Alligator mississippiensis: one gene and its partner. The protein of the gene in region 2 purifies or fractionates together with the protein of the main gene of each other region. This does not show direct contact. Links are inferred from orthologs where the notes say so. Each region holds a gene or a part of one and is shown on either strand. Other genes may lie near its edges.

Region 1 (7,857 bases), on a different chromosome or scaffold from region 2:
TTATTAAAGACTTTATTAACATGTTTTAAAACCAGTTTATGGAAAGTAATAAGTCTTTGTTTTCTTCAGGGGTTGGCTTTCATTGAAAGAGTAGCTGAAGCTGGGGCTGCATGACTTGAAATACTACATTGGTCAGGACAAGGAAGAGATCAGAGAAGAACAGGCAGAGAAGCGGAAGAAAAGGAATGGATACACTTGTTTCACTAAACTGACAGAGGGAACCGACAGGACAGATGGAGAGTTTCAGATGGTTGCTGAGGTAGTAGTTTCATGGGGTTCTGCATGAAGAAAGAGTTCTGTAAGGGACTTTTTTGTGAGAAGTCGATATATGTTTCATAGTAGCTAGGGTCAGGAGGAACCTGAACAGGTCATCTAGCCTGACCCCCTGCCACAGGCAGGAATGAATGCTGGGTTCACAAGACCCCAGACAGGTGATCGTCCAACATCCTCTTGAATTTGCCCAAGGTAGGGGCGAGGACCACTTCCCTGGGAAGTTGGTTCCAGGTTTTGGCCACCCTAACTGTAAAATATTGCCTTCTGATCTCTAACCTAAACCTGTTCTCCATCAGCTTATTACCATTGTTCCTTGTCACCCCAGGTGGTGCTGGGGAGCAAAGGGCTCTAACCTTTTTGCTGTTGATCTCCCCTGATGAGTTTGTAGGCAGCCACCAGGTCTCCCCTCAGCCTCCTCTTGCTGAGGCTGAACAGGTTCAGGTCCCTCAGTCTCTCCTCATCCGGCCTGTCCTGCTGCCCTCTCACCAAGCCACTGGGTGGCCCTCCTCTGAACCCTCACCAGGCTGGCCACATCCCTTTTGAAGTGCGGCGCCCAGTACTAGATGCAGTACTCCAACTGCGGCCTGACCAAAGTCGCATAGAGGGGGAGTATCACCTCTCTGGACCAGCTTGAGACGCACCTTTGGATGCATGACAAGGTATGGCTAGCTTTGCTGGCTGTGGTCTGGCACTGGTGGCTCATGTTCATCTTGGAGTCAATAATGATAAGGGTGTTTCTAATTTTTATTTTTTTTATTCTTTAACAAAAATATTCCGTGTGTGTTTGCCCACTATAGGCCACATGTTTTATAGCCAAGCCATGCTCAGTGTTGGCTGCATTTAATCATTGTCCCCCATGCTCATTGAGGAAAAAGCCTAGCCCTGCATTAGAGTAAACCTTTATCTTGTATTTGAATAAATAAGGATTTTTGTTTTCTTTTAAAATCTCAGAGCACTGTATACTGTTTACCTCATTTCTCCACCCAATAACAAAGATAATGATCATTTCCATTTACAAATGGGGAAAAAAAAGCATAAACAAGTGAAGTGATTTACTCAAGGTCCCTTGGAAAGTTAGCGACAGAGCTAAGAGTGAACCCAAGAATCCCAGGTCTTAGTCCTCTGCTCTAATAATTAAATCAAATGGTGTTATTAAGTAAAGTCAAGGGCTTGCGGGGGCAGGGGCACAGCTTGAGGCTCCCGCAGTGAGGGAGGGAGGGAGGGAGGGCTGGGGCAGGTGCTGCACAGTCAGGGCAGTGTGGGGTGCAGGATGGATCTGTGGCTCATCCGGGGGGCTACAGAGGGGTGCGACTCCTGCTGCAGCTTGCACCCCGGGGGAGGCATGGGGGGCATGTGTCCCCTGAATCTGTGCATGGGGTGAGGGTGGGCTGGGGCCAGAGGCTGAGCCAGGGTCTTCCCAGTGGGAGGGGCTGGACCGGCTGCCAACCGGACATTGTGATGAGATATAAACAAGTAACAAAGCCACAGGATCATAGCTTTTTTGACCCCTATATCCCTATAGGTTTATTAGTTAGTGCTGAGACAGGCAAATGTCTCCCAATTTCCCTCCCTTCACTCTTGAAGATGAAAATTACACATCCTTGAGTTAGTCGATAAGGTGCATCTCTACTCTGCCTTCTGTACTACGGTTGTACTGTTTAAGTGTTTTTCCAAGGGGGTCACCTGGGGAACATAACTGATGGCTATACCTGTACATAATCTGTGTACAGGTCCAGGCTTAACATATACTGCAATAGGTGGAAGGAAGCACACTAATGCAACAGCATAATGGGATGGGGGAGCGGCGCACAAATGTATTTAATACTAACTAAGCCAGCTTTCTGCAAGCCCTCCGGCTTCCCCTGCTTAACACACTCCTTCCGACCCGGCCAGCAGAGAGTTTCATGCTCTGCATGAAACAGGAGACTAACTCAGATCCAGGAGACAAACAGATCTACATTAAGTGATCTCCATGCCCACAGGAGCAATCACCTAAAGCAGCAGCAGAAGCGCTTCTGTTCCCACCTTCGTATGAGAGCCTTGTTGCTCCCATATCTCAGCTGAAGATGGCAGTGGAGCTGAGCCCATGGGAAGAGGAGCACCAGGCTCTCCTGCGAGCAAATGCAGAAGGCGCTGGTGAGGGTGGGGGTTACCCCGATGAAGCAGGAACCGAGGCGGCTGCAGGAAGAAGCTCCCATGACAAGGGCTCACAAGGAGTTTCAGCGCCGCGGTACAGGGTGCAGCCCAGCAACTGAGGGCACAGGCCGGCCCTGGCGGAGCGGGGAGAAGAGCCCGGCCGGGAGGCGCAGAGGGAAGGGGCTACGTGCAGCCGTTACCTCAATGATCTTGATGAAGCGCGGGAAGACCGGGTTCCGGGTCACGGCGATGAGCGGCACGTTGGGGAAGTGCTCGGGGATGAGCAGCGGGGTGAGCGCGGTCATGACCGGCCCCGCCCCGCCGCCGTTGCCCCCCGCGGCCCCATCCTCGGCCCCGCCGCCCTCCAGCCCGTCGCCGCCGCCGCCCAGGCTGCTGAGGCCCCGCATGTACCGCCGGGGGCCGAGGCTCGAGGCGACGAGGGGAGAGGAACACGGAGGACTCGGCGCCCACGGCGATGCGGAGGAACACGCCGCGTAGACCCGCCGCCGCGCCGCCCCGAGCGAGGGAAGGACCCCGCGCAGCCCCGGCCGCCAGCACCGCCACACGGACAAGCAGCGCGCCGCCGCCATCTTGCCCGCGCGCCGGGAACACGTACTTCCGCCCACGAGGCGGCGCACGCGAATGACGCCCCCTCCCCCTCGCGTGGGGGCGCCGGTTCCGTCCGAGCGCGGCCGAACGTGTGCGCGCAGGCGCGCGAGGGCCGGGACTGCCGGGGGCGGGGCCAAGCCGCGGGCTGCGGTTCGTCGTTTCCGGCTGCTCCGTCCCGGGGGCTGCCCGCGGCGTGGGCCTGCGTGCTCGGCGCCGCGTCACGTGTCCCGCGGGGCCCCGCCCGTCCGTGGCGCGCGCGGGACACCCGTCGCCTCGCTGTGGTGCGGGCGGTGCCTCCGCGGCCTTCCCGCTGCGCTGGGCTCGGGCTCGGACTCCGGGGCCCCGGGCACGGGTCGCCAGCTGCGCGTCAGCCCTTCGGTGATCCCGAGCCTGGTCCTGCCCCGCAGCCTCTCCCCACCCTGCACCACAGGCCTGACTCGTGACCCCTAATGATTTGTTTTCTATCTACTGGTAAAACACGTGGTTAACCCAGAGTTCAGGTTAACTTGGTCATGAGTTGTACCCTTTCCAAGCGCTGTATGTGCGCTTCGATCTCTTAAAAGGGGAAACGGAGCTGAAGTAGGATAAGGTTACAATAACACGTTGTTAGGTCATTGCGGCAGTTGTCCCTGTGCTTTACCTGCAGCAGGTTAGGGCACTTTGCAGTTGTGCAAGAAGCTGTGAGGCATTTGGGGAGGATGGGAGGCTAATTTGTGGCACAGCTGCCAAAAAGGTGGGCCCTGCTGCCCCACAGCATGGACATGGCATCTTCAAGCTGAAGCCAGAGCTGCCGGCAGCAGCTGTAATCCCTGCTCCAAGTGCTCCTACTTCCATGGACCTCAGGTTGCACTACCTCAGTGTTTGGTAGCGAGCCAAAAAGACTGGGTGTTGGTGAATCAGTGCTGCCTGTGCTCCCAAACGCACTCCACCAACACCATGGTGGGGCTGATTAGTTTACTAACAGGAGGTGTCCTGGCCCCGGCCTCCGCTCTCCTGCAACACTCCAGCCCCCTCCCGAGCCTTCTGGAGGGCTTCTGTCAGGCCGTGTTGGTGTCGTATGCCAAGTCCCTACAGTTCACAAATGGCAGAAATGGCCCTTCAGATGCTGGGGCCAACATATCTATAAGCTGTCTATAAGCCAACGTACAGCTGATTTCCAATAACTAGCTGTTGACACCAATGGAATGGAGCTGCTTCGTTCTTCCACTTCCACCAGGGACCGAGCGAGGAGGTGAACCTGCGTTCAGAGGGACCATTGCCTATCTATGGAGACTGGAGTGGGCAAGGACCCTAAGAGGGTGACACTAACCCGTGAACGCTACTTCCTTGCTCTCCTTGAATTAACTTCCCCAGAAGCAAATGCAAGTTGACCAGGCAGTCCCTCTTGAACAAGGCAGAAAAGGGCAGAAGGTGATCAGCGGATCTCTGTACTGCAGCAACCCAGGCCACTTCACAATTGCTTATCTTTTCCTGGGAAAGACCCACCATTAGGAAACAGTAGCCTAGTTGGGCCCAGGCTGGGTGGTGTACACACCCCTCAACATCTCTACCATCTTGATGCCTTTCCCTCAAAAAGCTGGGGCCAGTGTAGGCCGCTGCTGCATCTGAAAACTGAAAGCTTGGATGGGTGTACAAGACAATGGCTGGGGCAAGACGGGATTGCGGTAACAAGACTGCCACAAGAAAAAAAAAAGAAAAAAATATCAAACTCCGCTAATGGCTTGCAACCCATTAGGCGTCAAGACAGTGGAGTGCTTGTGGTACCCAATACCAGACCCATGCCATAAAGTAATAAAAATAAAGGTAAAATTGTTTGCAGAGTCCTAACACACTCATCACGTGTATTTCCAAGCTAAGAGAGCCAAAGGAAAAGCTGGGCCAGTGAGCCAGTAAAGGCAAAGAAACTACATATGCATTTCAATTGACCTAGAAGCTAAAGAAGACAAAAGGCTAAATACACATCTCAAAAGAAACCTGTAAAAGGTGCATTGAATATAGTGATGTAGGTTGTAGCCCTGTTGGTCTAAGGACATAGGCAGACAAGGTTCTTTGAGTGAATCTGATATCTTTTGTTAGACCAACTTAAATAGTTGGAAAACAATTATTAAGCAAGCTTTCAAGTTCAAAAACCCTTCATTGGGCTAAGGAAGTTTCTGCAGTTGGTGTGTGCTCTTCCTGGATGGAATGAAAAAGTAAAGAAGCCAGAGCCTGGGCTGGTATGCATACAAGACAGGTAGTCAGTGAAAATGTAGATTGAGGAGTCAATGGGTGAGAGGTTGGAGGGGCGGCGGGGGGGGGGTAACGTCCATGATTATGTCTATATTTAGTCCATGATTTCTCACAAGAAAGCCACTCTCTCTCCAATCTCTCAGTCCTGATCCTCAAAGGAAACTTACACAACACTTCCCAGAGACGAGCCTATGAACTCCACTTCATCAACCTGCTGGATACTAAAAATCATGGACTAATTATAGACATTGGATTTATGACACATTATAACCTGCCTGACATCTGACTCCCCAGGTATCTTTCCACTATTCATCCCCCTTTTCTCTTCTCCCCCCCTCCCCCCCTCCAGCTTGTCTCTCACCCATTGACTCCTCAATTTACATTTTCACTGACTACCTGTCTTGCATGCATACCAGCCCAGCCTCTGGCTTCTTTACTTTTTCATTCCATCCAGGAAGCGCACACACCAACTGCTGAAATTTCCTTAGCCTGACGAAGGGTTTTTGAACCCAAAGCTTGCTTAATAATTGTTTTCCAACTAATTAAGTTGGTCTAATAAAAGATACCACATTCACCCAAAGAACCTTGTCTGCTTGAATATAGAGAGGATGTTCTGTACTGACATCCTCAGATTTCTCAAAACAGGCATCAAATGTCACTCTAAGGTGTTACAATGTCTCGATCATTATAGAACTCCAGACATACCATGAAACAGAACATCAGCGATATAAGCTACTGCACATTTGCCCCATTGATGTACAAATACCCAAAGACAGGTTTGTTGACGCCTCTAAGGATCCTGTTGGAGTAGTCAAACCCATCACCTGTAAATTGACCTTTAATTGCAGGGGCTGCAGAAAAACACAGTTTTCACACCTAGACAAATCAAGAACAAGTGCCAGGAAATTAGCAGTCGTGTTATGATGATCAACCTGTTGCTCCCTGTTTGTTTGGACTCTAAATCAGCCAACCATCAAGAAAAAATGCTTTGAAGCTATACAATGAAACAGTATGAAAAACTAAACAGATTTGCCAGCAAGGTGTGTGCAGTCCAGACCAAGCTATCCTGCCACCCAGCTGACAAGTGAAGGATCCAAGCTTTGAGGCTATACAAGATCTGCTTCCTGCCTGCATTGGGTAAATATCTTTGTGCAGATAAGATAATACTAAGGAATAATAGCTTGTTTTATATTGAGAAAGTGTCTTTTCTGTTATTTAGTTGTGTAGCTTGTTGGTAGTTATTAAAACAAGCCTTTCTGCTATTTATCAACCTAGTGTTGTGTCAATTCATAAAACACTAAGTTAGGAATTTGGTTTCTAAGTCCAACAGCCACTAGGGCTGTGCGAGGCTTCGGACCGTGCTTTGGATCCGGAGAAGTTTCGGATGCTTCGGCGTCTGAAGTAACATGTCCGGATTGAAGCGCTGGCTTCTTTAGGCTTTCCGAAGTGGTTCGGAGCTTCTGAACTGCTTCGGAAAATCTTCAGAGCCGCCTTGAAGATCTAGCCATAGGGTATAATGGGGAATCAATGGAATATCTATAACCTTGTTGCTTTTTGTCTGATTTGGATGAAACTGGCAGGGGTGGTAGCCTCTGCTGAGAACATGATACCTGCCAAATTTCAAGAAGATCGGTTTAGGAGTTCTGGGGGAACTGCACCCCAAATTCTTGAAAGCAAAACTCATGTCACATGTATGTGTTACACCATGGGGGTGGGGGAGGTGGGGGTGAAAACTGCAGGAGTGGTGGCCCCTACAGAGGCCACAAAGCCCGCCAAGTTTCAAGGAGATAGGTGCAGGGGTTTGGAGGAAACTGCACCTCAAGCTGCGGACAAGCAAAACCCATGACAATAATCCTTGCTAATTAACTCGTTAACACCTAATTAACACCTACAAAACCACAGACTAAAGAGAGAAAATAATCAATACAGACAACCAATTGCCCCAAGACAGAGACAGTCAGTTGCACCAGCACCCATGTCACATGTTTTGCCTGTCAGCAGCTAGAGGTGCCGGGCCCCATGGGCCCATCACATTGCCATGGATGGGGATGCCCAGGCCACCACAGGCCCATCATGCTCCCATGGATGGGCGGGGGGGGCAGAACCCAGAAGCCCTGCACCCATCTCCTTGACAGCTGGCAGGTTTTGTGGCCTGAGCAGGGACTACCATCCCTGCAGCTTTCACCCCGCTGCGCCTTAACACACACAGTGTCACCCATGTCACAAGTTTTGCTTGTCCACAGCTTGAGGTGCAGTTCTCCCTGAAGGCCTGCACTTATCTCTTTGAAACTTGGCAGGCTTTGTGGCCTCACCAGGGGCTAGCACCCCTGCACTTTTTACCCCCCGTAGAGTAATACATACATGTGACATGAGTTTTGCTTTCAAGAATTTGGGGTGCAGTTCCCCCAGAACCCCTACACAGATCTTTTTGAAGCTTGGCAGGCTTCATGCTCTCAGCAGAGGCCACCCCTGCCAGTTTCATCCAAACTGGACAAAAAACAACAAAGTTATAGATATTTCATTGATTCCCCATTTTACCCTATGGCCAGATCTCAGGCAGCTCTGAAGCTTCGGAGCCGCTTTGGCTGGGTCAAAGCAGGAACCCAGTCT
Region 2 (7,059 bases):
CTCCAAAGATCATAGGCAGACAAGGTTCTTTGGGCAGATGTGCTATCTTTTATTAGACCAACTAAATAGTTGGAAAAATTGTTCTTTGCAAACCTTTGGGCATAACTGCCCTTCTTCAGGCATAAGACTGAGTTTGTTGTCTCCAGAGATAACATCCTTGTTAACAGCAGTATATGGAGATGAGAGATAACAAACCTGATTACCTACCCATCAGCCCTCTGTCTCTCTGCAAGTGTGTACACACACAGTCAGGCCCTTACCTTTCTCTAAAAGTGCAAAGTTTCAAGAAGTTCAATTAATAAAGGATATCAAACAACAAGAATGCACTTTTTGTAGAAAACAATGATTAAATCGAGACTTCTGATGCATGATTTAAATTGTGTTTTAAATCAGGATTTAAATGGATTTGATTTGTCAGATCCACCCTGCTACAGTGCACAGTAGAATAGCCAAAAACAGAAAATAAAAATTACCAGCACAAAACTGATGATACAAGAGTGAAAAGCACTTTATTTGAATTGTGCTACCACTGAACAGTTACACTCCAAGTTACCATTGATCAGCTTCCCTAGACAGTAAATATTGTTCCTATTGCCACCCAGCAGCTTCTGATCTCATCCATGCATTAGGGAAAGACCAAATGAATTTTATTGTGATAATTTCAGTTTATACTATTGTATGCAAGCTACAGACTAATCCTAATCAATCCATAAAAGCCTTCAAGAACCACATCTTGCTTGGTTTCAGAACGTGCACAATTCCTGTTTGTTTTTTAAAGCACAGCAGCATCACAAAGTATTTCGTTGTTCCCCCGGCCATATTTAAGGGTTTTTTTCTTCAAACATTTTGGAAAAAGATAAAAACTATTATTAAAAGTGATCTCCGTGATCAAAACAAATTTAAGTCTTGTCCATTTTCAATAATTTTCTAACAAACATTGTGTTAGCATCCTTTTTTGAGACATCAGCTCTTTGTATGTAGTGATGTTCAAATAAAACTGTTAATGGGTTTAGTTGCAAGTATTTCCAACTGAAAACATATGTCCAAAAAAGTTTATTATAACACTTCATCATTTTCTACTGCTGGGCAGGTTCATGACAATGCGACTGCATTTTGCATTTCAGGGTCCATGGGTTCAAAAGGCCAACAGGATTTTGAGGAGGTAAGTTTGGGAGTCTTAAAGAACATTGGTTCAACCTTCCTCTGACAACTTAGAATTAACATTTGGAGTTATTATTTTACAATTCTCAAGTAAGGCAGGATTCCTGCATTACTAATTTCAATGGTAGTTTTATTATTTACTTCAACAGCAGCGCAAACAAGCACTTTCCTACTAGTCTTTAGTGACTGTACATTACAGTGAAAAATGAACTGAGCCAACAGGACATCCAAAAGAAGTACTGCCTTTTAACAACGTTAGGTCTTGATCTCTTTCAGACTCAAAGAGCTATTGCCAAACCAAGCACATTGAGAATAAATCCTGCTGGTCCCCATTTCCTTACTGCCAACCCGTTATAATCATAAGACAACTACTACCTGATTTTTGCAAGCTTGCTTTAAACAGCATGTAAGCTATAGTGTTTATCCATAGGGATATATATATCCGGTAGAGTCTCTGCAACTCAGATAAGAGTTTTCTCTGGGCCACAGCGCAGAGACCACTTACTTCATTTAAAAAAAAAAAGTTGAGGGGGGAAAATGAAGGGAGGAAAAAGGGGGAAAAGGGGGAAGGAAAAAGAGGGGGGAGAGGAGGAGGGGAGGAGGGAAAATAACCTGCCCTTGTTATATCCACAGCGGGTATGAACTCACTCCTGAGGGATTCAAATAGGGCAACTAGTAAGTAGTTTCAAAAAAGGTGGGGTTCTCCTTTGCCCGATGGTTTTGCCAGGCACAAGATGCAGATCCCCTTGAGCCCAGCTCCCACATCAGACCTTATAAAAACCACAAGTGTCCCCTCCCCCCTCCTTCCCGGCTTTTTCCTTTAAAAAAAAAAAAAAAGTTTTATTTTTTTTTAAGTGTTTGGCAGATGTTCAAGATAAAGACGCCTCTGCCTGGAACCGAAGCTGCTCTGCCTGCTCTTACAAAAGAGCCAGCCGGACCAGCCAGGGACTCTTCCCCCTCCTCCTGCCTTGCAACCGGTTCCCCATGGAAGCCTCAGCCCCTGTCACAACCGCCCGGGCCCGCTCAGGGACACGCACACACACGCGCCCAGCTGACAGCCCGCCAGAGACGCGCGGCTCATTCATAAAGACAGCCGGCGCGCGTAGCGCTCGCCCCTCGGCCAGGAGCAGAACTCAGCCAAGGTTCCAAGAGGCGGATATAGAACGCGGCGAGCGTTCCGAGGGGAAGGAACAGAACGTAGCGAGGGTTCCAAAAGGGCTCGGAATAGAACGCCGCGAGCATTCCGCGGGGGGGATAGAACGTAGTGAGAGTTCGCGGGGCGGGGGGAATAGAACGTAGCGAGCGTTCCAAGAGGGGGCAGAACTTAGCGAGGATAACACAGGGGGAACAGAACGTAACGAGGGATGGGGGGTCCCGCCTGGGGGGCCTCGAGCCACACGAGGGGGGGAGCCCGCGGCTGGGGGGCTGCACGCACCTTTCTTCTCCTCCACGGCGGAGCACGGCCCGAGCAGCAGCAGCAGGATAGCGGCTGCCCCGGCCCGGCCGGCTCTGGCTCCTGCGCCCAGGCGGCGGCTCCTGCTGTCCCGCATCCCGGCGCTGCCGCTGCTGCTGCTGTAATCCCGTGGCTGGTGCTGCTGCTCTCAGCCCCGCGCGCCCGGGCTCCCGGCGGCCGCCACTGCACTGCCCATGCTGCAGGGGGGCGGGCACGGACTCGGGAGGAGGCGGCGCTGCTGCTGGGCTGGGCTGGAGAGGGGGGAGCTGCGGGTCGCAGCCGCCGGCCCCACGCGGGCGCTGGGTCGGGCCGGGGGTGGCTGCGGTCTTCCTCCGCCGGGAGCTCCGCCCGGGCCGCCTCGCTCGCCAAAACTTTCCCCTGCTGCCGGCGGGGCGGGGACGCTGGCGCTGCTGCCCCGCCAGGTGCCACCCCCACCGCCTGCCTCACCTGGCGGGGTGGAGCCGGGGACAAGCTCCTCCTCGGGGGCAGCAGGGCTTTGCCCCCTGTTCCGGGCGCCTCGGCGCCCTCTCCCGGCCAGCTCTGACGGAAGGCGGCCCGGCTTGCCCGGGCCTGGAGCTGGCTCTCATGCCCCTCAAGGCGCCTCTCCCTTGGAGCCCCCACCCCGCGCTCAAGAAAAGCTCTTCCTTAGCCACCACAGACCGAAAACAGAGCAGTTCTCTTGCAAAAGGAAGGACTTCCTAGGGGGAAGAGAGGTGCCAACCCTGCATTCCCAGAAACAGGCACCAGCTGCAATTGGGACTTCCCACATTTGTATAGAAAAGCCATAGGGGTTAGGGACACAAAGGCAGTCCCAATTCACAGCACAGCTCTGGCGACCTCCCCTGCTTCCTCGTGCCCTTTCAAACCTGTTAGGCAGGATTTCCTAGGGGGATATTTTTCTTGCCCCCCCCCCCACCCGGAATGAAGGGAGGCAAGCTTTCCAGGGTCTGGATTACACTTTGACTCTTGGAGGGGGCTGGAAAAAAAAAATTGGGGTGCCTATCATGATGCTATAATAAAAACGAAGACCCTCCCCTCAAGTTATGATTTTCAACTCTTACAGGGTGGGGGGGCTTCTGTCTCTTATGGGGTGGCTCAGCCATGGAGCTCCCCCGGTAATTCAAACCCTGAAGCTTTCCAGTTTAAGACCACCTTCCTTAGGTCTTTGAATATAGGCATCCTAGAGGAGGGGTGAGGGGAAATGTGCAGGTCTAGCAGACACACTGAGCAGATAAAAGCACCCAAGTCCTGGGAGATCAAGGCCTATCAAAGGGGGAGGAATAGGGGAGGATCAGGAAGGAGGTCTGAAATCTTGTCTAATTCTATCCCAGCTCCATAGCTGCTCCAATAAAACAGATCGCCTGCAGAAATCCTTGCCTCCTCACATCACTTCTGGTCTGTCACGCATACAATGTTACTCTTATTGCTACTGTTTTTCTGTTGCAAAGAGGGCAAGCAGGTCCCAACAGGGCAGGCAAGGTTTAGCCCTGCAGGTTCATCATTGAAGCCTCTGGGTTTCTAATTATGTTTGCCCACCCAACAGCAGTAGAGAGGATCTCTCCCTCCAATGGAGAATCACCAGCCTAGAGCCACCAGTGAAATTCCAGCCACCTCTCAGACCCCACTGCCTCACTCAGCCAGTCACAGAGCTGGTGCCTTCCCTGGCTATATCAGAGGCTACCTGCAACCCCAGTGGGAATGGGTAACTAGTTTGGCTTGAGTGGAGTGACTCCTGCCTTCCACTTGTGCCAGGGAAATCAAACTCCCTTCCCTTCCCTCAGGTGCATGCCTAGGTGTGCTGGCAGAAAGGCAATGCTATATCATGCTGGTTACAAGGAGAGAATAGCAGCAGCTGGCCCAGAACTTTATCAGAGAAAGGGGGTGGGGGAGAGAAGAAACCTGATAAAAGGTAATTGTGGGTGATTGGAGCTACAGGATAAATTAGTCTTGGTTTTCATCACTTCCAAAATAGAGTGTTACTAAAGGTTGAAATAAAAAATGCTAAGAAGCTTGGAGAAGGAGCTGACCCAGGGGGAAGAAGCCAAGTTTGTCAATAATTACCTTCTGAAGTTAATGATTTAAAAGATTAGGACACAGTACCAGCTCCTACTCTCACTCAAGTGGACTGGAGTTTTGCCACTGCCTTCTGCAGGATGGATCCTGCTCACGTTGCATGTACGTTTACCCCCACTACTTAAAAAAGTTGGTGACACAGGAGGACAAAGTTAAGAAAAATGCCACTGTTTCTGTGCATCACTTATTCCACAGGAAACTCAGAATCTCTTTGCCACTGGCCTTACTTCAGACTAATAGTTTTTTACCATAGTATAAATATATGTTCCTGCTTCCACTTGTCTTCTGGATAGGGGCCTTTGCCTTTCACAGAAATCAAAATTTCCCCTAAAAAAAAAAAAATCTGTAAAAATGTCATGTCCCTAAGGAATTTGAATCAAGCCTCATGTCTGTTATTTCTATTTTCCTCCTCAGACAAGACATTAAATAGTGTATAAATTATACAGATTTAGTACTTTGCTTATACTGCGTTACTGTGATATCCATAATATTTACTATCTATTGTATAGCAAATAAAATATAATAGTAGAATAGTAAAGCAATATAATTAAACTACTAAATGACATCCCTATACACTTAGCACTGGGCATATATGTAACCAGTTGTTTATACACCATTGCATTGATAATTAATATGTGTTGTACAAATCCTGTCATTTTATTAAGTACTTAATAAATGAGTAATAAACCCAGCCCTGGAGAAACAGCAGCAAGGCAAGCAAGTACATTTGTTATTTTCCACCACTAAGAAATGCCATTCAGTTTACACTGGAATCTACTTTTAGTTAAATCATTTGGGTTATTTTTTTGTTTGCTGGGGGGTGGGTGGGTATGAGTCTTGTCCCACGACAACTTCAGTTGAAAGGAAGGCTGGTCTTGCAAGCTAAGCATATAATTGGAAGCTAGACATTCCTACTTCTTGGTCTCGATTCTGTCATTGATTCTCAGTATTGTAGTAGAGAGGCCATTTAACTACCTGGTGTCTCAACTTCCCCTTCTGTAAAATGGGGTTAATATTTCCCTTTTATGGCTGTTGTGAGGATTATTACATTATACTTTTCAAGGTGCTGTAGAAACTGTAAGGAATGTAGACATTCTAAGAACTGTTATGGGCAAATAGGAGTTCCATGAAAGAGGAACTGAAGTTGGCAATGAGATGGCGATTTGGGACTTTGGTGCTAATTTGCTATAGGCAATTCTTTTCTATATCACGACCTGTAGAAACACAACACTGCACTGCAAAAGTAGTAGCCAACAGATATAACTTAACTTCCCCTTATGACACATTTTCTGCATCACTGTCACACTGCTACCAAGTACTTTTCTTCATAATATTTACTTTTGATTTGGTTAGCTTATGTTAATCAGTGGCGTATCTAAACAATGGAAACACTATTGTATTTAATTCCATTAGCTTAGGGAAAAAAAGTGGCTTGAACATGTGTCTTTAACCATATATCTTTACAATCATTATTTTAATGCCTTTTTAAAGAGTATCAGGTTGCTAATTAGGCAGACAAGGTTCCTTGGGTGAATTTGATATCTTTTATTAGACCAACCCAAATGGTTGGAGAATAGTTATTAAGCAAGCTTTCAGGTTCAAAAACCCTTCGTCAGGCTAAGGACGCTGCAGCAGTTGCTGCATGCTCTTCCTCGATGGAATGAAAAGGTTGCTAATTAGTTTTGCACAACAGAGCTTCGGTGTTCTGTATTTTATTCTCATATTTCCTGTATTGCAATTAGATCTTGTAAATAGTGAAGAAGAACCATGTTGAGCCAAACTGTGCACTTAGTTACAACCAAGCAACTTTACCAACATCCATGGATTGTACAGCTGTAACTAAGAGCAAAATTCATTCATAGCTTGCTTCAGAGATGCTCAATATTTACATTGCGTGTTATTACAATGTAAGATTCAACCTAAATGAAGCTGATAGTATCAAATAGAGAAATAGAATTAAACTGAGAGGGAAAGTAGAAGAATTTCTTCAATAAGAGACCCAAGGTAAAGGATCAAGTTGTAAGGAAGATGTGCATCCATCTGAAGAAACCTAAGCATACATTAAAGGCTGCACACTGTATTACAGGAAAGGATGCCAGATTAACAGATATATTTGTCCAAGGAGATATTATCAAAAAAATGTATGATTCAAAGGGAGTATTTGAGTATTATATTACAGTATAATGCAGCCACCTCCCAAGTACTCATTTGGTTATCCATAGACAATACGATGAGACCAGCTGTTCCCAAACTGTGGTATGTATACCACCAGTAGTATGCAGACAACCTGTCAGCGGTATGCATTAACAGATTTATTATAATTACTTTATATGCCAAAATTTGCTGGTGGTACTTAAGGTTGTATCGTTTTA

Evidence for each region.
Region 1: the proteins of EGFR (region 2) and LONP1 purify together in Homo sapiens (affinity purification with mass spectrometry; 3 studies listed by BioGRID and IntAct, with this or other methods). This does not show direct contact. The link is inferred for Alligator mississippiensis from reciprocal best matches to the Homo sapiens genes EGFR and LONP1.

Annotation. Positions count from the first base shown.
Region 1 is NC_081839.1:11,905,062-11,912,918, forward strand, and holds the start of LONP1 (lon protease homolog, mitochondrial), read right to left. Parts: upstream 3,020-7,857; 5' UTR 3,000-3,019; coding exon 2,610-2,999; intron 1-2,609. UniProt on the Homo sapiens protein: ATP-dependent serine protease that mediates the selective degradation of misfolded, unassembled or oxidatively damaged polypeptides as well as certain short-lived regulatory proteins in the mitochondrial matrix.
Region 2 is NC_081828.1:121,541,053-121,548,111, reverse strand, and holds the start of EGFR (epidermal growth factor receptor), read right to left. Parts: upstream 3,012-7,059; 5' UTR 2,712-3,011; coding exon 2,597-2,711; intron 1-2,596. UniProt on the Homo sapiens protein: Receptor tyrosine kinase binding ligands of the EGF family and activating several signaling cascades to convert extracellular cues into appropriate cellular responses.